Caenorhabditis elegans: one gene and its partner. The protein of the gene in region 1 interacts with the protein of each later gene in a pairwise test. Each region holds a gene or a part of one and is shown in the gene's direction. Other genes may lie near its edges.

The links.
Region 2: the proteins of parn-1 (region 1) and cyp-13B1 interact in a two-hybrid assay, tested with the Caenorhabditis elegans proteins (one large-scale study listed by BioGRID).

Annotation. Positions count from the first base shown.
Region 1 is NC_003283.11:12,685,554-12,697,772, reverse strand, and holds parn-1 (3'-5' exoribonuclease parn-1), read left to right. Parts: upstream 1-2,517; 5' UTR 2,518-2,518; coding exon 2,519-2,748; intron 2,749-2,942; coding exon 2,943-3,140; intron 3,141-3,189; coding exon 3,190-3,954; intron 3,955-4,582; coding exon 4,583-4,885; intron 4,886-4,932; coding exon 4,933-5,010; intron 5,011-5,060; coding exon 5,061-5,135; intron 5,136-5,180; coding exon 5,181-5,232; 3' UTR 5,233-5,287; downstream 5,288-12,219. Other genes in the region: K10C8.4 (uncharacterized protein), read right to left, coding at 1,017-1,160, 1,212-1,327, 1,396-1,423; frpr-15 (G-protein coupled receptors family 1 profile domain-containing protein), read right to left, coding at 5,409-5,486, 5,539-5,757, 5,821-6,133, 6,417-6,575, 6,627-6,760, 6,807-7,058, 7,114-7,266. UniProt on the Caenorhabditis elegans protein: Involved in transcriptome surveillance. Required for piwi-interacting RNAs (piRNAs) 3'-end trimming, which is important for both fertility and piRNA-directed gene silencing. Has 3' to 5' exonuclease activity in vitro.
Region 2 is NC_003284.9:13,402,745-13,414,963, reverse strand, and holds cyp-13B1 (Putative cytochrome P450 cyp-13B1), read left to right. Parts: upstream 1-5,320; 5' UTR 5,321-5,345; coding exon 5,346-5,392; intron 5,393-5,507; coding exon 5,508-5,643; intron 5,644-6,016; coding exon 6,017-6,271; intron 6,272-6,354; coding exon 6,355-6,440; intron 6,441-6,486; coding exon 6,487-6,586; intron 6,587-6,635; coding exon 6,636-6,806; intron 6,807-6,854; coding exon 6,855-7,216; intron 7,217-7,720; coding exon 7,721-7,864; intron 7,865-7,913; coding exon 7,914-8,070; intron 8,071-8,121; coding exon 8,122-8,196; 3' UTR 8,197-8,290; downstream 8,291-12,219. Other genes in the region: C29F7.1 (CHK kinase-like domain-containing protein), read right to left, coding at 422-517, 567-650, 847-1,112, 1,156-1,315, 1,363-1,449, 1,495-1,637, 1,683-1,815, 2,065-2,184 and 1 more; F02C12.1 (ZZ-type domain-containing protein), read right to left, coding at 8,673-8,825, 8,875-9,085, 9,371-9,614, 9,667-9,750, 9,811-9,925, 9,972-10,085, 10,129-10,263, 10,316-10,588 and 6 more. UniProt on the Caenorhabditis elegans protein: Cytochromes P450 are a group of heme-thiolate monooxygenases. They oxidize a variety of structurally unrelated compounds, including steroids, fatty acids, and xenobiotics. May play a role in the regulation of lifespan.

The DNA of each region.
Region 1 (12,219 bases):
GAAATAGAGAAGAAATTACAATGAGTCACAGATAAACAACCGAAGGCACTATTTCGCAATGATTACGAGATATTCTAATCGACGCAGAAATTCGAGAGATTGAATGCTCACGAATTTCTAAAAAATGAAATTGAAGATTTGAAGATTTACATAAGCATAAAATATTTTATATTGCTTAAAATGGTGTGGTGAATGCATCTCATGATCACAAACAAAACAAATGGAAGGAATAATGTTCCGTGGAGCGCGTTTCCAACATTGTTTCTTTGGGCAAAATTAGAAGAAAAGAGGCAGACTTTTAGCGAACATTTTCTGAATTTGAACGAAAAAAAATGAAATTAAAAATATACATGATAGTCGAAATAATATAATTTCAAATGAATTGATGTAAAAACTGTTAAAATTATCTCGGAGAACTCAAAAGAATAATTAAAGTAGCCATTGTCAATCTTAGTTTTACATTTTTTGGATCGAGAATTTCGGAAATCGAATTTTTTCCCAGTAAATTTATTTTTAAAAAACGTATTTTTCTTTACATAAAAATTTAAAAAATTATATTACTGCACAGAGGCCCAGTACTCCCGCAAGATTATTGCGAATTCTTCAAATAAACACAGAATGCTTTGTATTAAATATTTTACTGTTTGAGAAAAAAAAACTCTGGAAGTAAAAAAAAAACATCGCAATTCTGTAAAAATAAGTATTAAAAAAATGAAAAAAAAAAGCAAAAATCAATTAAAATTCGAAAACAATCTACCGTAGCAGCTGAAATCGTGGTGAGACCAATCATATACATAAGGATATGTCCCTTTGACACAGTACTTCCTCTCGTTTTCTTTCTCTCGATCAGATCTTGTTTTTCGTTGTTTTTCTTATTTTCTTTTCATATTTTGCTTGATTTTTTTATTATTTTAAAACAAAACAGTTTATTTGACCCATAAAGTGTATGTTTTTGAATAATTCTTAGAATTATTCATTCTCCCGGACAAAAATCGGGATCTTCAACAATTACTTGTCTACTTTCGGGAACAATTCGATTTTTTCACGTGTCGTATGAACTCTGGCTGTTGAAAATCATCATCTTCAAGAGCCAGGGTTTTTGAGAATTGATTTTGTAGTTCCGTCGAGTAAATCCATTCGAAAATTGAGCAGCCGATAGTCTGAACATCGATTATTTTATCAAAACGTTCTTTTCTTTTCAAATTACTTACGATAAAAAGCTTATAGTAGAAGATTATAAGAAGAATTGCTAGAAAAACAGTTTCCATTGGAAGTAATGGTTTTTCGTCGGGCACATCTGTTCCAATGTCAGCGTAAGAAGCGACAACTGAATTTTGTTTGATTAATGAGGAGATTTTATATTTTTGCTCCTAAATAACATCTAGAATGACTCACTCTCAAAAAGTTCTACGAATCTCTTCATCGAGAGGAATAATTGTGCAGGTGAGTGAATGTGTATGTGAATATTTGGGAATATTTTGTGCAAGGACGACAGGCACAACAAGCTACAACAAACCAATTTAGATGCGTCTGAAAACCGGGAGAAAAGATGGAGAAAAGAGAAAAGAAATGAAGAAAAAGGCGGCTGAGGAAAATAGAGACAGCGCCTCTTCTTCTTCTTTTCGCCTTTTTCTTCTCCTGCTTCTACTGTTCTTCCTCGTCCATCTGAGCCATACCCTCACACGTAGGCTCGCCATGTGTGTATAAAAATATGCAGATATGAAAAATGAAAAAGGAATACGGAGAGATAGATTTATATGGACTACATTTATGTTCTAGATAAACTGGGATGTTTTGCATGCTCTTGGGTTAGGTACTATAGTTGAACACAAATGAGCCATTTAATTCATCGTTCCGCTTCATCGCTCATGCACACTAGGTTCGGAACAAATGGAGTAGCTTCGAAGATTTGATGAAAGCCGAGTTTAAAACCCGAAAAGTTAATTTGTCAATTCGAACACATCAACTCGGTCTACACGTATCCGTTTTAACCAAGAAAGTTGAGCGGTCGAATTGGACGAACAAGTACAGTAATCTGGGTTAGCATACCACGTATGGGATGAATTCATATGAATGTGGTACACCGCTGTCATATTACATATCCACAGTTTTATTAAACACAATAAAATATGAGGGAAAGTTCCAATTTATTCCCAAGAGTCAAGTGTTTGGGATCAATAGGGAATAAATATCCTCCCTGATTTTTCACAGCCGCATTTTTTCTAATGTTAATTTTTATTAAAACAAATTTCAGAAAGCACCGCAAAGAAAATTCGTGTACTGAAAGACAAGAAATTCAGAAAAGACGTGTCAGCATATTTAATTACCCTATTTTTGCACCATCTCACAAAATTTTGAAATATTATTTTCTATCAATCGATATATGATTTTTGAAAATCATTTTGCTTACCTAACCCTAACGCAAGTTTTACAATTTTTGAATCTACCTTGCGAATCTATTTCTCTTCTCATCGCTTTATCGACGTCGTTGTCATTTTTAATTATTTTATTTTGCAGGATGGTTATCGTCACCGACTCAAACTTCCTGGATGCTGCAGGTACTTTGCGCAAAGGACTTCTCTACTGTGATTTTGTCGCCATCGACTTCGAATTTCTCGGTCTCGATGTGTCGGCCATTTCTCTTCATGACACTGTTGAAAGTCGCTATCAAATTCTTCGTGACAATGTCATCAAGTATCGTCCATGCCAGCTAGGACTGACCTTATTCAAGCAGAAGTCAAATCGAGCGTGAGTAAAATTGTTTTAAAGTTTCAGAAGGAGAGAGTTGCTGTCATTCAGATATGTTTCCCCTGTCTTGAGATAATTGAGATTACAAATAATTAGAAATTAAAGATTTTCTGCTAGATTCCAAATTTTTATTTTTTATTAACTCATATAAATAATGAATAAGGACAAAAATGTATTAAATTTTATTATTACAGATACAAAGCCGACACTTACTCAGTTCCGCTGTTTCAACGGTTTGGTGATAATGATACAAGCATCTCGTTGCCGTCGATGCGCTTCCTGGTCAAGAACAAGTTTAATCTCAATCAAGTCTTCATGGACGGCGTGGAGTTCTGCACTAGGAAAGAGTTTAAGAAGTTCGAACGTGCACTTTTAGCTGGAACTGCCGCAAGGTGGCGATTATTTTCTTCAGTATATTTCATAAATTTATCCATTTTTCAGCTATCTCAGCAGAGAAGTCAAATCTCAAATCGAACTTCTCAAAGTCATGGTTCACGAGAAATGCTATCAATCCACTTCTTATCATATTACACACCGTACCGATGAGCCAATGCAAAAGATTCCACTGAAAATGAAACCAAATTCGTCTGTTTCGCTTCGAATGCCACGGAACTTGAGCAGTGTCGAGAAGTACATGATAATCTACGAGCTAACGAAAGCGTTCCCGCAATTTCTGTTCACTTGTGACGAAAAACAACAAAATTTGCATGTGAAAAATATCTCCGACGATTACCTCAAGGAAAAGGACAATCTGGAAAGAGCTAGAGCTCGCTGTTCAGAATCAGTTAAAGGAGTTTCAGCAATCTTGCAAGTTGTTCATATGACTGGAAAACTCGTCGTTGGCCACAACAGTCTTCTTGATGCCATGTATATGTATCATTATTTCTTCTCGCATCTTCCTGCAAATTATCAGATGTTCAAAGATAAATTCAATGCACTGTTTCCGAGAATTATGGACACGAAGCTTCTTGCTCAAGCTCTTCGTTTCGAATTGCCTGGAGTCGGTGATTCTTTGGAGAATCTCGGTGATTATTTCGGTTCCGATAAGTCCGATAAAACTGTTCCGCCCGAGCTTCGTGGGTTTATTGAGCCATGGATGAACCCACTCGAAGATGAATCAGAGAACGTGTACCATAATGCTGGATTCGATAGTTATGTCACCGGAGAAGTCTTCTTGAAGCTTGCTCACATTTATATTAATAGAAGGTGAGTATTTTTAAAAATTATAATAAAGCATTAAAAAAACAATTGTGACCTTGAAATATTTGGGCGGAAAAATTTAAAAAAAATCTTAAAAATTTTTTTAAAGCCTAAACAAAAAAGTCGATAACACGACATGTTTTCGTTGACAGAAGTACTGTAGGATTACTGTAGTTTTGTAAAAATGAGTTTTTGTCTTATTAAAGAATGCTGGTTTGATCTTATAAGGTGGATATGGTCGGGGTAGACTGTAGAAGTAGTACTGTAGGACTACTGTAGCTTCGGGAAAAATTGATTTTTGTCTTTTAGAGGAATATTTGATTGGTGATAGTAGGGAATCGGCCAGAAAGCTTCTGAAAAGTTCTGTAAAAATTCGAACAACGTCTGAAAAACTGACAAGTTCTAAAAACTTTGAGAAACTTTTGGAATTTACTGAAAAACCGAAAAAAGTTACTGGGAGCTTATGGAAATTCGAAAATCTTCTTGCAAGAGATCTTGGTTAATTTTAAACATTTGGAAAATTCAAGGAATTCTGAAACATAAAAATTTTTGAAAAAAAAAACAAACTACAGTAACTTTCATTTGGAGTTTTTCGAAGAGTGATGTAAAATTTTGGATTTTTTTTAAATTTCAGGAACAACTTCAAGAACGAAATCTTGGATTTTGATAGAATCTATCAATATCTTGAAGCTCCGATTCTCAACCGTCTCCCCTTCCAACTTATGGATGTTGGCTGCTGCTACCTGACCGGTGATGATTCCAAAGGATTCCGTCCAGATGTCATTACAATAGTTCGAAGAGATCGTGTTGCAATCGAGGAGGACGAGTTCAGATATCTTGAGAAAGCGTTGGGAACTCTCATGGCCACGTACCAGTTCGACATCGAATGGTCGAAAAACAAGAAGGAACTCTTCCTGGCCACCAATTCACCTGGCTCGTATGTTTAAAGTAGTACATGGCTTTAATTATATGAACGATTTCCAGATACGCATTCCTCTGCGAGAAGTTCTCGAACGATTCGAGTCTTGCTCCCCTGGATGAGCTGGATAGCGGAAAGAAATGGTAATTTTGAACATGGTTTTTGTTAAGTTTACAAGTTTGTTTATTTTCAGGACCTTCGAACAGCGTCAAACAGCGTGGAGAAGCTTCAAAAACCGAGGAGTTGGAATCGGGATCAATGCGAAAAGGTTTTTTGTTTCAGTTTTAATCATGAATCTAATAACATTTTTCAGAATCCGAGCTCAAAACCAAGCCACCAAGATTCAAAGAGCGATGGAAATATAACTATAATGTCATATGTTTATTTCAATTTTTTTCAATCATAAATATATGTTGAAAACTTTATGTTAATTAGTTCAAAGAGAAGGGAAGGTTTACTTGAAAAATATATTAACCCGATAGAGAATACCCGTAATTTGAAAGGTTTAGAGAGCACAAATATTTAAGAATGTTTCGAACTTTCATGAATTCGTTGGTCTTCTCGAGGAAGATGATCGAGTGGAAGGTGAAAGATCGGATTTTCGAATAACGCTCGCTTGCTGGAACATTGAAAATATTATTGTAAAGTTAGCATATTTTCAGAATTCTCACCTTGCTTCTATTTAAATCAAATCTGGAATTATCCAGAAGTTGAGTTGTCTCGAAATGAGCTTGAGAATACCCAATCGGACGTTTTGGGGATTTACCACAAAAATTGTGCCCCAAATTTTTTCGAAAAAGTCGAATGAACACATTGCGATACTTGCTTCCAAAAATTAAATAAATTATAATTGTCGACGCCCCGTTGACGTTCACCAGAAATGTTGATAGCTGAAAACATCAAGATTTTTTTTGATTTTTTACAGTTGTTCGAAATTATATCCAGTAACTAACCTCCACCAATAGAGTTTCTAGATCAGCGAAAAATCTGATACTTGATAATTCAATAATATTTGTGGCAAATGCAATCAGGTTGAAGAGTAAAAATTCGGTTGTGATTGCCACAAGCATTACAGTCACTCCATTTTCTTTTTTGTCATTTTTCACACTTCCATTGTTAGCTCCACCCATGAGAATTCCATTTCCTTTTTCTCCGTTTTCAACTGGAACAACTGCCGAATATCCATCAATTTTTGTAACGATTGTGTCAGTGGGTACTGTAGAATCACTTCTTTTTGATCGAGATGTTGTCATCGCTTTTCTCATTCTGAAAATTATTTCAAATTAATTCAGCGAACAGCACGCGATGTCAGAAAGTCTCATCGCGGTTTGATCTACAAAAAATGCGGGAATTTTTTCCCAGAAAAATTGTGACGTCAGCACACTTAACCATGCGAAATCAGTTGAGATATCTGCGTCTCTTCCCCCCGCATTTTTCGTAGATCAAAGCGAAATGGGACTTTCTGACTCCACATGGAACAGTTACTTGATTTGATAAACTTTGATTATTTGGTATATCAGTTTTGAAACTGTGAAAAATTGTAACTTACTTATATGACTGTTTGAGTGTTGCAATTATTCGAAGATTAACATAAGTTAAAATAGCAAATGGTAGGAAGAACATGACAATTGTATAAGCTGCATTTCGGAAAATAAGAGTATACATACGATTCATCATCAGAGATGTTGGATAAACAACAGACGAGTTTCTGGAAAATTAAATAATATGAAGACAAATCTTAGAAATCATTATCACGTACGTCTGTCCTTCAGTTCCAAATGAACATGGCTGAGCATGAAGTTCAAACCATCTACTCGCATTGAATACAAATGCAAAAACAATTGCAGCCACTATAACTGCTTTCACTGCATTTGAATTGGAGATTCGACGGATCTGCAAATATATACTTGTTTTACAACTTTGTTTTTTTGGAACTTACCAAAAAAGGGTGACAAACTCCAAGATATCTATGTACTGAAACAAGAATTGTAACATAAACAGACATTGTCAGTCCAATTTGTGCAAGTGGGTAGAACCATACAATCAATTGAACAGATAAGTCGATGTACTCTGGATTGTGGGAGTTTTCAGCATAAACTGGAACTGAGAACACGAAGATTGATGCGACAAGTGTCAAAAGGTCGGAGAAGGAAAGTGCTAGGAAAAACCAATTAACTGTATGATTCCGCATCTGAAAGTTATAAAAAAAAAAATTTCATATTTAATCTTATTAAATTGAAACTTACAGATTTCTGTGAGAAGACACATATGTTAATGGAGTTTGATATGATTCCAAATAAATAGACAAATGGAAAAAGGTACGATCGAAATAGGAACTGTGCGTGTGTAAACTCGATTTCTTGACATTTATTGAACTCATCGTCCAATGACATGCCACTCTGAAAATTATAAAAATTATGAATTTATGCTAACAAATGTAAATAAGAATATTCAGCTTATAATAACACAATTTTTATCAACTATAAAATCTGTTTTACAAAAAAGGTGAGAAAATCTTACACTCCAATGGGAAGAAAGGGCACTGCGACGACAACTATTTGTTGCTCCTGTCGTGTAAGCAAATAATACGATCAGAAGACAATTCATGAAAAACACTTCCGCGGTATGATATATTATTTATTAAGGCTAATTGTACTTTCAAACCCTAATGAGTGCTATAGGACAAGTAATTTATCAAAAATCAGCTTCAGAGTCAACAATAAATTATTAAAGTTGGGATTCTATCTGCAGAACTCTTAAGGGGGGGGGGGGTTCCAATTTTATTTCGGCTGATAACTTATGGGCAGTTAAAAAAATATATTTGTATAGACTGTATTGAATTTGTCTAGGAAGAATGAGACTAGTCAACTTCTAAACCTAGATTCTGTAACTACCCTAAAAATAGAAGATGCATCGGGAAAAGTGTCACAATGTGATAGATATGGTCAGTTGAAATGAATATATTTCCAGTTTTTCCTAGATTTGGGTAATTATCCACGTAACAATCATCAAAAATCCACAAACCGAGAACAAGAAAAAATGATCTTTGAATGTAAAATGATTGTTCGGTCTTTCTTTGATTAAGTAGAAAAAGATGAGAAGTGAGTACTATTACGCAAGAGAAAACCATTGAGTGCTTGGAATGCAAATACACTTTAGTTACAAAAACAAACTTTATTGACAAAAACAAACACTTTTTTGCACCACCAAAATGCACTTATGAATGCACAAATGCACACTGTTCGTGAACTTTGCCGATATAGTTTTTGAATATTTATTGCGTGGGATCCAACATTTCAGATGGAAATTTGAGGAGCATGTTTGTTCTCATTGAGGGATTATGGGAATTCTCAGTAAGTTCTAGACAGTTTCAATAAGTTCATTCTATGAGGAAGTTTTGCTTTGAGAAAGTTTCGGAGGAAATTTGTCTGAAATTATCTAAAATCTGGAAGAACTACAAAGTATTTTTATGGAGCATTCTTGAGATATAAAAGAACTAGGCAGAACCAAAAAAACACAAAAAATTGGTTGCCATTTTTTATAGAAGGTCTCCACGACAATCTTCCGTGAGAGGACGAGAACGAGAAAAATGGGTCAAAACAAGAAAATGAACGGGCCCATAGAAGATTCACTCCAGTCTAAGAATGCAAAAAACGTGGATAAATAGTTTTTATTTTCTGTCCACTAAGTCTTTGCACTTATTTTTTACTAATTATGCGAATTTCATGAAGAAGCCAGACTTTTTCAAATAGAATAATTGAATCAGGAAGTAGTCTTGAAAAAGAAAGAAGTGAATGAATATTTAAAAAAAACAATATTTAATACTTCAGATCTGAAATTTGAATTTTTCAAGACCGGATTTGTTTTTGAATTTTTCAAAACTTTCTTTGTTATTAAAAATATCTATTTTTAAAATCGAACTAATTGTGAGGTTAAAATATTCCATTCTCAATCCTGGTGTTCAAGAAGTAGAAAAGCAAGGAAAACAAATGGGTGGGCTCTTCCAATCAAACATGATCTAATTGAATTGAGAGCACAAGAGAAGAAGAAGAGGTTGCAATGTGTGCATACTTCTGGAACAATGATGGGTGGAACACGTCACATAAGAGACGTGACTTTACGACAAAACTTTTCCGCATTTTCCAAATATATTTACTTATCTAAAATTGGAATCTAGTGCAACAGAATACATACGTAAGAAATGTACGATTGAAGAACAACTTATCATATTTTTTTTAAAGAGGAGGGCATTTGATACAATGAATATATTTAGGTGTAAGACTACTGAAAATCACCAACTTGAAAGTCTACCTTAAATTTGAAATTACTAGATTTTCATTTTTGAACATTGAAAACTCCTATCTTAAATTCGAAAATGTAATGATCGTAACAAAAAACATGATTCTTGTATTGAAGTGAGTTTGAGTTTCCAACAAGAAACATTGTACATATCATTTTTTCATTTTTCAAAACAATAATTATATTCAGACCAAAAAAAATCAGTATTCAGACCTCATATGAAAGCCCCACGGTTTGACTCCTGAAAGTTATAAAGTAAGCAATTTTCAGAAGTCACAATAACAGTCGAATTCAGAATTCTCTAATTTCAGGCATGTCAGAAAATGGTTAATATTTTGACTCATATCACAAGATTTCTGAAATGTTCCAATTTGTGAGTCAAATGAAGTTCACATTCACAACAAATCCTATTCAGAACACATTGACAATGCTGTGGGTGTTTCAGGTGATAAAACATTATGTATTAGAGAATAAGAAATGCATTGTGTCCTGAAATCTAGATTTTCTGATTTATTACGTCAAAAATTAAGAATATTTGCTGAAATTTCGCAGAAGTAAGAAAACTATCGGAAGCAAATCCCAATCCTGGGAAGAAAGAATACAAATTGTAGATGACTGAAATGAATTGACACAAAAATTGCAGCGTGTTCAAAGTGAAAACAAAAAAAAGAATCTCTGTTCCTTTTCACATTTTTGTGCCTCTTCGTTTAGATTCACATGTGCTCCGCTCTCTACGCAAAATTGTGGTTTAGCTGTGTGTATTTATCCTTGAGAGAACAAGGCGTATAAACCGTAAACACTGAGTGAAAAAGCTCATCTAGAAAAAAAAGACTGCGAGTGTCGGATAAAAGTTTTGAAAAGTTTAGTTTGCAGTGAAAGACAGGTTTAAAAACGTTTCCGTCTGCCAATACAAGACTAAAAACTTGACAATTTATAATTTGTGGGTGTTTTAAGTAATATAATGTTTTACTTACAATTAGGAATATAAATTAGAACGTGAAAGTACTAAAAGGTTAATTAGATCTAGGGTAGGGTATATTTTTGATTTTAGCGCATTACCTAGACTGCATTAAAAAAAAATTAAATTAAAATCTACCTTTGAAGTTGAGAGCTTTTACCTAGCTATCAAATAGGTTTGTGAGCTTTTCAGATAATTTAGAGCTAGATAGATAATTTCCGGAGTTGCCGAAAATTCATTGGCCGAACCAAAATAGCCCCACACCTTTGATTTAAGGATACCTAATAAACGTGATGTTTGAGAAAAAGGTTCTATTTTGTGAAGAATTCAACCATAATAATTCCAAGAATGATCAAAAAATAAAATGGACATGAAAATAACTCAAAATAGCGAAAATCGAGGAGAATGCAAAAAATTCCAAAACTTCTTCTCCCATCCGGCTTTTCCGTTTTTCAAAAAGCCAGGTGGTTTGAGTGTTGTTATGGGTTGTGTTCACCCTTAAACTAAACCTATAAAACGACATACCACTTTAGCTACCACTTTTCAGAAATTCACGATCCGAAGAAAAAGAGCATCATAAAAAGGTTATGGTAGGTAAGGTTTATGACCAACTGAATAAAATTAAGGAAAATGAAGAAAAATAGTGTTCACAGAAGATTTTCAATTGGATTTCCGTATTTACGATGACGTAACTTTCTCTCTCGCTGCGTGTGAAGAATTTTCAATTCGAAAAAAAAATCTGCAACGCAGAAGAAAAAGAACTCGCATATTGTTTTTGCTCAGATTCATTCTTTAGTACACTACTTAGACTTTCAAAGCATTTGTTTTGATGGTTTAAAAAATTACATCTTTAGAAATATAGTAATTTACAAGTCAGTTCAAGATCAAGTACAACAAAATATATTTCCAATTGTTGAACTCGCGTTCAGGATATCAACAAAAAAAATAGAGTTTTCTAGAAATATCTAAAAAAGAATATAATTCTTAAGATAAATAAATTTAAGGGCTCTGTCGTTGGAACGCCAGACAGAACACTTAAAATCATAATAAAGACGTGATAAGAAGAGATCAGAGCAATAGGTAGAAATAGCGAACTCTATTCTGCAGGCATCAAAACTTTTGAAAATGCATTATTGTTTTATGTGGGAAGATTTCTACAAGTTAGTATACAGTTTGTATATCATAATTTGTTGATTGTTAGCTGTGCTGCAAAATTATGCTGTAGTAATTTTTTCATGAAAAGAAAACGAGATTGATAATTTTTGGTGCCTATAAGCTTTAATTCAAATGTATCAAATTTAGATGTTACAATGTCCAGTCCAGGAAGCCCAGGAAGTCCAAGGACCTTTAAAGATACATGAATGATGTGATAAATACGATAAATCTAGAGATGGGATCTTTTTACACTTCCTCATTTTATTAATTCAATCAGTGGTCACTTCACTAAACCCCTGAAAGCAAAATAGAAAACATGAAGGACAAAAGTTGGACGTCGGACAAGAAAACGTTTATGTTCGCGAAATAAGAAAGCAACAGATTGTTTTTTATTTTCAGACGAACACGGGGATTGAGTTTAGAAAATGACAACTATTTGAATTTCTTGAACTTATAGGTACAACTCACAGAAACGAAAACAACAGTTTCAAAAATTGCCGGAAAATAAAAATAATTGCCGGATAATTTGCCGGCAATTCTCATGAAAAAAGGAACACGCTATACAGTAATAGTTGACCCTTCGATGAATTTCTACAAAACAAAAACAAAAAATAACAGAGCATAATACGAATAATTTAACTCATGGTCGAAGATCTCGCATGAAAATAATATCGCCTTCAAAAATAACATAAATGAACCTGCTGAAAAACTGGAAAAACCTAGACATTCGTCATAAAATAAGACGAGAGAGAAGTGACTAAAGGAAAACAGAAACAAAAAAGAAAAAAAGGTGGAAAGCTACCATTAATTAGAATGTAAAAGGACGATTTTTCTTTGATTTTTCAGGAAAATGATAGAAACACTTTTGGAAAATTTCGAACAAAATGCAAGTTGTTTGCAATTATGATTGTCATGTTGTTCTTTTTTTGAAAATATTAAT
Region 2 (12,219 bases), on another chromosome or scaffold:
TGTAGGTTAAATTGAACAAACGGTAATTGAAATTACTGTTGATATAACAGTATACATAGTTGATAGAGATTTTTTTATGAACAATCTGTAAATTGTTTCAGACATTTTAGTCGATCTTGTTGTTTTCAATAAATATTTTTTCGCACTGCCATGTCAAATTAGAATCATAAAGTACTTGTCCTTCTCACCACATTTGGAGTTTGTGATTAAGTGATGACATCATGTGTACCGACGACACGTTTGATCAAAATGTGGTGAACTGAACTGAAACATTAACTTATGTAATTAATTCAGCGAAATTTCTACTATTTTTGGAAACATATACTTGTATGTAGTCTGATATTTTAAAAAGGTAAAAAGTTTTTCATATATATAATTTCCAAATAAGGTGAATACTTCAGTAATTATCAATGTACATGTATTATTCCACACCAAGTACTTGAACAGCTTCCTCAACATAAGATTGGCATCTCGCAAATGATTCACTAATACGTGCTGGGTCAGGTTTTCCATCGGTCTGAATTGTTTTATATTGATGGTTAATGATGAATTTTCAAAAAAAAAACCTGAAGAATTGGAGAGCTAGACCAGATTCCATTTGAAAATATAGTTATCGATGCACCATAACTGAAACAGTGGTTGTACTCTTCCTGGAAAAATTATAAATTGTGTAACATATTTTGTCAATCACAAATTTTGATCAAACTGGAAACCGCGAAGAATTTTTCTTTTTAATTAAATTTTCCATACTTATCCATGTCTTACAACAAAAAAATAACTTACTGCCCAAAAAATAAAAATTAAAAATCGACTGATCCAGTTTAGTCAGCTCAAGTACATACTTACATCAACTTCTTCCCTGGTCCATGGCATTTTCACACCCTTCTCTTCCAACCCAGCGCTCAATTTTTCAAAATAATGATCCAACAGTGGTTTAGTCAACTTGTTCCTATTTTCTACACTGGTACCAGTCGACAAAATTCTATGGAGATCTTCCATGGGACTTCCCTGATGACCAACTTGCCAGTCAATAATTCCCGCAATATTGTCATCCTTATCCCACAAAATTTGGGGAGACCATAGATCTCCGTGAGTCAGGACGGATTTTCTTTCTGAAAAAAATTAAAAAATTTTAAAAAAAATATATTGTCGTACTTCCTTCCAAATATTCATCACTGAATTTTGTCATAAAACTTGGATCCTTGTCAAAAGTTTTCTCAATGTATTTTGAAATGATTTCTAAGCCAGGCGATTTTGCCATGTTCTCTGCAATGGTTTTGACCATCGCCTCGAAAAGATCAACGGTATCACGCATCTAAATAAAAAAGTTCTAAAAAAACTTTTTCAATAAGTTCAACTTACCGCAGAATCAGGAAGAACGCTCCTCCATTCTTCAGTTGTCAAGGAGAAAATGTGTAGGTTAACAATTTCATCAACAATTTTAAAAAGCTATAAGAACATAAATGATAAAACAAATTATGCCCTCAGGTTTACCTGATCTTTATCAAAACCGTCTATAAGATCATGAACAGTACAGTCCTCAAACATTTCCATTACAATAACTGGTACAGGAGCTTCTGCGTCACCGGCTTTTGCTGCACAGTAGATTACGGGAACTTTCATTGGTAGATCAGTGTCTGAAAATTTTGATGTAAATACTTTCGAAACCAGAACGCATTTACATTTTCTGAAAACATTATAGTAATTGCATTCTGTGTTGTGCATGAACAGTTCCATGATTGCAGCCGCGTTGCCTTTGTTAACATCTACACCCACACTACCAACACCTTCACCCAGCTTTGCACAACTCGCAATCTAAAATTAGCGACGTCTGGCTACTATTTTTAAACTGAACTATTTTTATTTTTAGGTTTAGAAATTATTTTTTAAAGTCAAAAATGCAGAAATAGTTCAAGTTTTAATTTTTTTAAATTACATAAAAAACATTATAGAGCACAGCATAAATCATTAGAAACACAATATAAATTTAAAAAAAAACTAAAAAGCTGACTATTTCTATATTAATTTTAAATTATCTTGCAAGCTTTTAATATTAGCTCTCACCTTTATCACTACATTTTTCGGCAGGTTTGGGTGTTTTAGCTCTTGTTCAGCATCAAAATGCAGCTGTACTTTACGAATCATTGACATGAATCCCAAATCTGCATTGTCCAAAATTCCGCACTGAATAACAATTATGAAAAAAAAATTCTAAGTGACTTGAAAAACAGCAAACATACCGATCCAACTTTTGGCTTAACACCAATTTTCTTTTTCACCAGATCAGCAAGCCATTCTTTTGTTAGCGGATAGTTGTCAATTATAAGATTGGACATAGTTTTCAGCAGAAGAAATTACCACGATTTCAGCTTGAAGTTACAATGATGTTTCTCCTTTTTATGTGAATAATTCACCATGTACCACTAATGAACTGATAACACAACTGTGCTCAATAATTATCTAAAAGTGACATGTGCTCCAATTGATACAGTTATTTTAAAAACGGCGATGCACATTTTTTAAACATAAATTTTGCATTAAAACCGTGTAGTTTATGGCGAAAACTACATTCAACATAAAAACAAAAACAAATTGAACACAAGAAGCTGCTGAACAATGTACATCATAAAAAAACGTAACTAGTCAGTAATCTGTAAGTTACCAACACTTTATAGAATCCCATTCTGATAATCCTTCTGTTCTGAAAACAGATAAAAACCGTCGACATGTTTTTTCTGAAAATAAAGTTTTAGTCCGCAAAACATTTAATAGAACATTTTGAAATGAATGTACAGTGTGCTTCAAAAAAATTCTAGCCGTAAGTTGTTTTTTTTGTTTATTTTATGGAATGACGTTAAAAAATAAATTTCTATCAACTAACCATTTGGGCTTTTTTTCTGATTAACAGTATCGCTTTGCTCCAGTTTTTTTGTAAAATTTAATAAACTTAAAACCGACATTTAAAAAAAAAGCAGTAGGCAAACACTCGAAATATGCCTGTATATATTTTTTAATTACTGTTTTTATCAAGCCATTTCAATAAAATGGTAAAAGGGATGGAACGTCCCGCAACCAACTTTGGAATTATTTGAAAACATGGTTGAATACATGTAAATAGACCATTACGTAAATAGTGACTTTTTAGAAGAACATCGAAAAAAATGTTTTTCTGAAATTGTGCAACATTTTCGCTGTGTCTCTTGCGAGTAATGAGTGGGAAACTGCCATGTGTTTTCGATTAGTCGTTTTGTGTGCAAATCTGAAAGGAACGCAAAACTTATAGAAAGAGAAGATATGAATAAAAAATTACCGTTTTGTGACAAAACCTTTCTATTCCACAATCATCAACTCAAAAACATCTGACAAATATTAAGCGTTCTTCGTCAGAAATCATAAAAAAATGCTACACTATTGCCGGTGTGTAGTATTTATAAAGATCACTGAACAAGAGTCCGAAAGATCGCACTACTTCTCTATGTCTGCATTGACAACATTTAAACTACAAATCACTACAGTTTTCAAAACGAATAGACGTAGAGTCTAGTTTTCTATCCATTTGACTAATTTGCTGATCTAGGCGATCACCCTATTGTATGAGGCGTGGACCTTTATTAGGAAGGAGAGTATAAATAGAGAGTCACTCTAAGAAAGGTATGAACTTAAAGTTACTTTTCAATAATGGGAGCTGTTATTGTGCTGGTTGTGCTATTTGTCACTGTTGCAAGGCAAATATCTGAAATTGGGAAATAAATGAAAAAATTGTTAGACTATACATGTATTTAATTTAACTTAAACCACTTAAAATTTTTCAGTTACTTCAAATGGATACACACATACTGGAAAAGACGTGGAATAAGTGGACCGGCAGGTTTGCCTTTTATCGGAAATTATTACGAGCTGGCGGATGTTAACAGGCCAAGAGGATATCTTATTCATAAATGGACACAGGTTTGTGTTTTTAATGGAGTATATGTATAAAAAACATTTAAAGAAACATTGAAAAAAAACGCTCAAAAACGATATTTTTGTAAAGCTTTCAAGTTTATTTTTGTGGATTCATAATTTTGTTTTAAAATTCAGTAGTCTTCATTTGAAATCCTCAGGGAACATTAAAATCTTATTTGCTATTTAACCACCTGGGTTTCAGACGTTTGGGAAAGTCTTTGGCTACTACGAAGGAGCTGTTCCAGTGCTAGTTGTATCCGATTTGGATATTCTACAAGAACTGTTCCTCAAGAAATTTGAAATTTGTGCGGATTTTGCTTTGTTTAAAATACATCATTAGAAAACGACAAAAGTTTGGAAAAAAATCCGTCCAAAAAATTCTTTTTGGTTGATCGTCAACAAAGCTTCAAAAAAATTTTTGTCGAAAATTCTAGATTTTTCATACAAAAATGTTGTAACATACAAAAAATGTTGCAAATCCCTCTAGTTTGAAATTTGAAACTTAAGAAATATTCAAAAAACTCAAAAATTATCCGAAAAAATTATATTTTCTATTATCATTTTAGTGTATCGAACTAAATTGATATATTTTGTATGTATAAAAATAATTTACACTTGGTTACATCATTTTTGTATGAAAAATCGAGAATTTTCGACAAAAATTTTTTTGAAGATTTTTTGACGATCAACCAAAAAAAAATTTTTTGGACGAATTTTTTTCCAAACTTTTGTCGTTTTCTAATGATGTATTTTGAACAAAGCAAAATTTGCACACAAACTTCAATTCAAAGCTGAAAAGAAGCGAGATCAGAAAAATGTCTGAAAAAATTGGCTCCGAGTTAGGACACTTCCTATGGTCAAAAAATTTTGTGACTATTGTCAATTGAAAGATCATGGTTGATAACATAAATTCCCAAAGTTTCATAAAAATCGATACGCAGCGAACAAAGTTATGATTTTTGACCCGGAACTTATTTGGAGACCTAATAACTTACATTGTTATTCCCAAAAAATTCCTTTTAACGCCTCCAGCGCAATAAAACGGCAAAAACATTCAATTTCACAGCCACGAGGCAAATTAAAACTGAAAACAAGTCTTTTTACTTGATCAGAAATCATAAAATAATGCTACAACATTGCTGTTTTGAAACATTGATTAAACTTAGTGAGCAAAAGGACAAAATATCATTTATCATATTCCTCCCGATAGGAAAAACTATAATTAGGCTACACAACCACCACAATTAACGTTTTCTGGTTTCTTACGCGTAGCCTCCTGTTTAATTTGCTGATCTTGACGATAACAATATTACAGGCGGCGCTGACCTTTATTGAGGGGACGGGTGTATAAATAACGGATCACCCTAACAGAATTATTGTCTTCAGTCTACGTCGTAGCGATGGGAGCTATTATTGTGCTGGTGGTGCTATTTGCTACTATTGCTGGGTATTAATTTTTATCTCAAAAAATTAGAAAAAAGAAACTCGTTCGAATGTTTCCTATAACTTTATATAGAATAGACAATTTTTATAACAAATTCTAAACGAAATTTTCGTTTTAGTTACTTCAAATGGATACACACATACTGGAGAAGACGTGGAATAAGTGGACCGGAAGGTCTGCCTTTTATCGGAAATTATTATGACCTAGCGGATGTTAACAAACCAAGAGGATATCTTATTCATAAATGGACACAGGTTCGTTGTTTTTCACCAAAAGTTGTTTTTAAATCAAAACGGGTCTCAATGATGATTGTTGTCCAAATCCAAATTTCATTGAACTAGGAAAATGCGTGTTCATATTTATCTGCTACTTTTTCCTGCACCAGTTTGCAACTAGTATTTGTAGAATTTAAAAAAAAGCTTCTGAACATCTACCTAGACACCTACCATGTTTGAGAAGATGAGTATAAAATGGAATTCTAGTGAAGAAATAATTCCCCTGAAGATGAAAACGCATGGTGATTTTAAAAATACATCTGCAGAAAATCAATTTGCAGAGGTGTTGTAAATAATTGAAATGCTAGTATAAGTCTTCATGTATCTAATCCTAATCTTCTTTTTTTTTTAGAAATTTGGAAAAGTTTTTGGCTACTACGAGGGGGCTGTTCCAGTGTTAGTCGTGTCCGACATGGATATGCTACAAGAATTGTTCCTTAAGAAGTTCGACAATTTCTACGCAAGGAAATCCACAAATCATATTCATGGAAACTTGGAATGCTCAAAGTCCGAACCAAGAATAAATTTGTTCACTTCAAGAGGAGCTCGATGGAAGCGCTTGAGAGCTTTGGCATCGCCAGGGTTTTCGGTGAAAGCTTTAAAGCAGGTATATTTTCACGTACTAGAATTTTTAGACAAGTTACAAGAATAGCTTCTATGATGAAATATCACCATCCTGTTGTTTTTTAGGTTCACGATGTTATGGAAGACAGTGCTATCAACATGGTTGACTTAATGGCAAAACACGAAGATGGAAAACCATTCAACATTCACGCGTAAGAAAATTGAATCAATTCTAATTTTTATCTTTCCGGTTTTCAGATATTTCCAAGAATTCACGTATGATGTTATTTCAAGACTTGCTATGGGGCAACCAAATTCTGAACTTTTCAATAATTCTGGAGTTGAAATCGTTAAATCGGTAAGTCTTTTTCCAAAATTAAAAGTATTCGAAGTTATAATTGTTATAGATTTTCATGAGGACACACCGAGTTCTGCCATGGTATTTTACAGTCTTGTTTCCTCAATTTGAACACTTGGTAAAACGAATGTTCTACAATCACGCAGCTGTCCAGGGTGGAGATATTGAAAAATTGTTGCTTATTTGCAAAAAAACTGTCGAAAGTAGAATTCAAGAAAGAGTGAGTCATCTTTTTATTTTTTTAAGGAATAAATTAAATAAATTTCAGGAGGAAAATGCAAAACTTGGATTTGAAAACGCGGAAAACGACTTCATCGATATGTTCCTTAACTATTATAGTGAACAAGTTGAAGATATTGAATTTGGTAGTACTGTAGAGAAAAAGGTCACAGCTGAAGATGTTATTGGAGCGTGTTTCGTGTTTCTACTTGCTGGTTTTGATACGACTGCAAACTCATTGGCTTACGCATCTTATTTATTGGCAAAACACCCGGAGAAGATGAAATTGGCTCAAGAAGAAGTTGATACCGTTGTGGGATCTGAAAATGTATCCTATGATGATATGACAAAGTTGAAGTATTTAGATGCAGTTGTAAGAGAATCATTAAGATTGTATCCAGTCGCTTGGTTGTGAGTTTTCTATCGAGTTGAATAAGTGGGAACTACAAGAAAAACTGTTAGATGTAGAGAAGAGTTTTTTTGTTCATAGTTTATGGGTTCAAATATGCTGATTTCTTTTTTTAATTTTTCAAAAAAAAAAGATAAATTTGGAAACTCACAAGAACTTTGATTGACAATACAAAATATAACTTTTTCAAAGAGGTCTACTAAAAAAGGCAACTTCATTAAAAAAAACGTGTACTTAGACAAAATCTCCACCGGTGCTATTCCGCTTTGAAATTTAAATTGATTTTGTCCTTGATTGATCTTGATTGAGCCATTACATGGAAATCAGCCAATAGAAAAATCTCACTTCCCATCTTAATATGCATTTCTGATAATGCATTTTTAATTGGTTTTATTGAATTAAGTTTTATAAAAATATTTGATCATAAAGTTAATAAAGTAAAACTATACAAAACACGGAATTTTTTTTTTTTAAAAGATGGAAACCAAATAGTTTTGAACTTTCAGCGCCTGCTCCCGGGAATGCGTGAAGCCTACCACACTTGGTGATATTTACATTGATAAGGGTGTGAAAATTGAAGCAGATGTTATGTCACTTCATAGAAGCAAGGAAATCTGGGGTGAAAACGCGGATGATTTTGTTCCAGAAAGGTAACCTGCTAAAATATTTTAATTATTTTCAAAAAACAAAAAAATTCAGATGGCTCGAGCCTTCATCCCGACATACCATGTCTTGGATACCGTTTGGAGCAGGACCCCGTCAATGTGTTGGAATGCGTTTAGGACTTTCCGAAGCAAAGACTGCATTGGCTCATTTGCTTCGAAGATATGATTTAGTCGCAGGAGTAGAAACTGAGGTACGGTTAACACTTCGTTTTTTTTTTATATTTAAGAGTTCTCAAATTCAGAAAGAGTTGAACATTCTTGGTTGCACAACTACATCGCCAGAAGCTGTTACGTTGTACTTGAAGCCGAGAATTTAAATTTCGTGAAATTAAACCGTTTATTATACTCGACCATTACTTGTAATATAAATTTATTGTGGTGATTTTTTAAAACAAAATTGTTATTGATTCTACATATTGTTAATGTTAACAGATTTTTTTGTGATAGTCTAAAAACCAGAGCTGCGCGGCTATTGGAAACTTTTGGCAAACGTCGGTGAAAATAAGTGATTCCGCTTACAGTTTATACAAGCATGGAATTTTTTTAGAGACCAGGAATTTTAATTCAGTATCTAGACGTACACCGAACACTGTGTGATTTTATGAAATACGCTTTTTTGACAATGATACAAGTTGCCAAAAAATTTATGTAAATCTCTCGGCTATGGAATGTTTTGTGAACAAGTTTATTACAGCAGATTTTTTTAACTGAAAAAAATTACCACAGTTATTCGAATTGATTTAGCTAGTAGGACACGCATTTTTAAAAGAGCTACAGGCACCAAAATCACATATTATGACCAATCGTAACACATAAAATAATTTTCCGATAGTTCATGATCATCAATTTCGACTCCCGTTGACGAATTGTCTTTGTACATTCGTACTTTTGGTTTTGCACGTATATTTCCCAAGATTCCGCGATTTTCGAGACGAATTCTCACAACCTGAAAGTTTTAAACTTTTTCTTTGCTAAATTTTCAAGCGATAACCCACTCCTTGTTCTGTTCCAGTTCGGATACTTCCTTCCACAAAATGGGGAATAGGTTCACCTGCATCGTTTAATGTGATTTCAATTCTATCAATGACACCTTTTCGTATTGCTACTCCATTTGGTATCGACTCCACCTTTGCACCCATAAATCCTTCATCACCATTATCCATCGTGATCACTTTTTTGGTTTTGCCATCGATGAGCCTTTCGGTGCTGAAAGTGTAAATATTATGAATTGATGTTACTTTAGTAAATAATCTTATATCTGAGATGCATTAGCAATTCCAAGATATCAGCAGAAAGTTTTCGAAAACTGTAAGAAATAGGCGCAACATCTACAAACAACGCATGTGCATAATGAAAATATGTTACCGAATGTTTTAGTAAATGGTAATCCTGCAGAATTTGTTTTCAACAGTTTTATTCGAATGATTGCGTAACTTCCGAGCAACAAGTTAGGCATATATAATAGTTTTGTAAAAAATACGAAACACTCACAGAGCCCCACCGGCGCCTCCGGACAAAATCGCTTTAACCTTCGCGGCAATATCATCCCATCCAACATTCAAGTACGTTGTAATTTTTTGTTTGCTAGCCGGCAACTTGGATTGACCTCGGGCATCCAGTGCTTGCAAGTGTTCCTCTACAATCTTCTTATCGGAAACTGTCAGCTGCTTTGCTTGCATTTTTGGAACACTTGAAGATGGCATTGGTTTTGATTTTTTTGGAACGTCGTGTTCATCTGATTGTTTTGTCAAATTTTATGGAACTTTTTTTTTTGAATTTCAACTTACGAATGTGAGCTTCAACATGTTTATCAGCAAGCATAGCCTTGTGAATGTCTTTAATGGTCTCCAAATTTGCCTTCATCTTTGAATCTGAATATATGTTAAGATAGAATCAAAAATCCAATGATTTAACAGGAAAACCAAGCTTACTTCCTTGTTGACCTTCAGTATTTTTCATGTTTTCATTGATTTTTTGATCAAATTGTTGTTTATCTTCAGCAGTCTTCAGGGTATCTCGATAATCGTTGATTTTTTCTTGAGTTGTCTGAAAAATCGTATGAACTTTTTCTGTATAAAAAATTCAAACTTACTTGTTGAATTAGCTTTTCAGCAGTTTGCAAGTTAACTGCTGCGTTTGTGAAGAATAGTAAACTGGTGGAGAATTGGAAGAGTTCCAACGGGGTTGGACGCTCTCCATTTGCTACCTAAAAGCTCGGAAATGTTTTGGAATAATTGCAAAAGGCATACCTTCTCAAAAATGTTGTATCCAGATGCAGTCAAGGCAATTCCAGATACAGCGAAATTTGCGAAAATTGCTGCATTTACTGTATATTCAATGGCTTGACTGACTTCAAGTCCTTGTGTAGTCATTACTGTGAGGTACTGAAAAAAAGTTGTACTACGCTAGTTTGAAAATCATTTAAAAAAAACGAACCGCAGATCCACCAATTGCACCAAAGGAGGCAAGCGACGCTGCCACCGCGAGCCAATCTACAAAGTTCTCTCGACTCCGAAGGGGGTTCACATTCTCGTTATGAATAACACGATCAACAATGTGATAGCCGGATCTAGCCATTGAGTAAACTCCAGTTCCAATTGCAGTGTAGAGAAGAGTTGTTGCAGCGACTGGAGCAAGAGGAGTGAATAGGCCGATTACTGAGCCAATTGTGGCAGCAACTCCAATACCCATTGCACTCCGGTCGCTAATCTGAAAATTTTATTTTGTAGATAGAACACTGAGATTGACTCAAAAATTACCTTTGCAATTTTACTTGGAAGCTTACTTCTCCTAGAAATGTCATAGCGCAAGTTAAGTATACCTCCGGGTTCCAACTGAAAACAAAATGATTTTCTTTTAATTTAATTTTTTTTTGAACCTCATAAAGTCCACCATCGGGATACAAAATGTTACATTCTGGCAGTTTGTTTTTGTTCAGAAAATCTTCCCAATCATCGTAAGCCCTTCCAGTAGATTCAACGTACATTATCTTGGTGTCGCTGATTCGGAGGCAAATCAGTGGAAGCTGAAAAAAATTTCGTATTGAAACAGTTTACATCTATATAAGCGCACTATGTTGGAATGCGATCCGTCAGCGAAGAAGCTAACAAACACAAATTTGGTTTCCACAATGTTGGATTCTCCCTCTTTTTGTTTTTTCTGCCGTCTATTGATATCGAACAACTCATCTCGTAGCTTGATTATATGATCTTCTTGCTAAAAATTTTCAAATTAAAATTAATAAAACTTCAGAAGCAACAACCTCTTCCGTATATCCAAACTCGGGTACAAATTTCAAATCAATTTTCTTTTTGCTCTTGCTGTTATTATTTGCTTCTTTTGCTTCAAGCTCCATCGTTTTCATCAATTCTTGAAGCTGGTCAGGCATGAGACTGTTGCGTTCCTCTTGTGGAAGATTTGTAGGGTATTGATATACAGCAAAGCCGATTTTTCTGCCAAGGTTCTTCATTTGCTCCTGGAAACATGAGGGTGGTCTTGAGGGGGAACTTTATTTTTTTCCCTATATACTAGACCTAACATTATTTTTGAATAGGTTCAGAGCTTCGCTCGTAACCTTTTTTTTGAGTGTTGAGTTCTACTTTGTCCATTCCAGCCTTTTGTTGGTGCTAAAATGCCTGTTTGACTGTACAAGGAAAAGTTTCATTTACAGTTAAAATATGGCACAGTTTTCTACTCATAATTAGAAACTCAATCAAGAAGCCATGAAGTTTGTTATCCAATTTTAAACTCATTTTATCGTATTCGAATATTGTAAGGACACGCAAAGTTGCTATAAATATTTTAAAATGTTGTAACTTATCAGAAAGTTAGAAATGTTCTATGAGTTTGACTGAAAGTGCTGATAAATCTGATTTTTTTTAAATTATGATTTTTCCTTGGTTTTTTTCAACTTTGTCACTAAAACCAAAATTCCCTCCAGTACTTTTTTCTGATAAAACAAACAAACAACAATTATTGACATGAACTTTTGCGCAAAGTCAAGTTCCCGAAAAAAAAAATTGAATAGCATATTCTTTATGTGCAAAAAAGCCTGTTAAAAACATAACGTAAATTACCTCATCCCCTTTATCAATTTGAAACCAATCTAGTCTAGCAAGACCAATTCCATAATACTTTTGTGTCACAATTGCGGCTCCAATCTGATGTTTTTTCTCTAATTTTGGATTTGCTTGCACTGCCTCGAACAGCTCAATTTCTTCCGTTCCCTTCTTCTTTATAAAACATGTCGCACAAATGCCATAATCCGGGCAGATTTCTGGGCATCTGAAGCTGCACAATAAACTACCCGCAAAACGAAGAAAAGCACACTCACACATAGC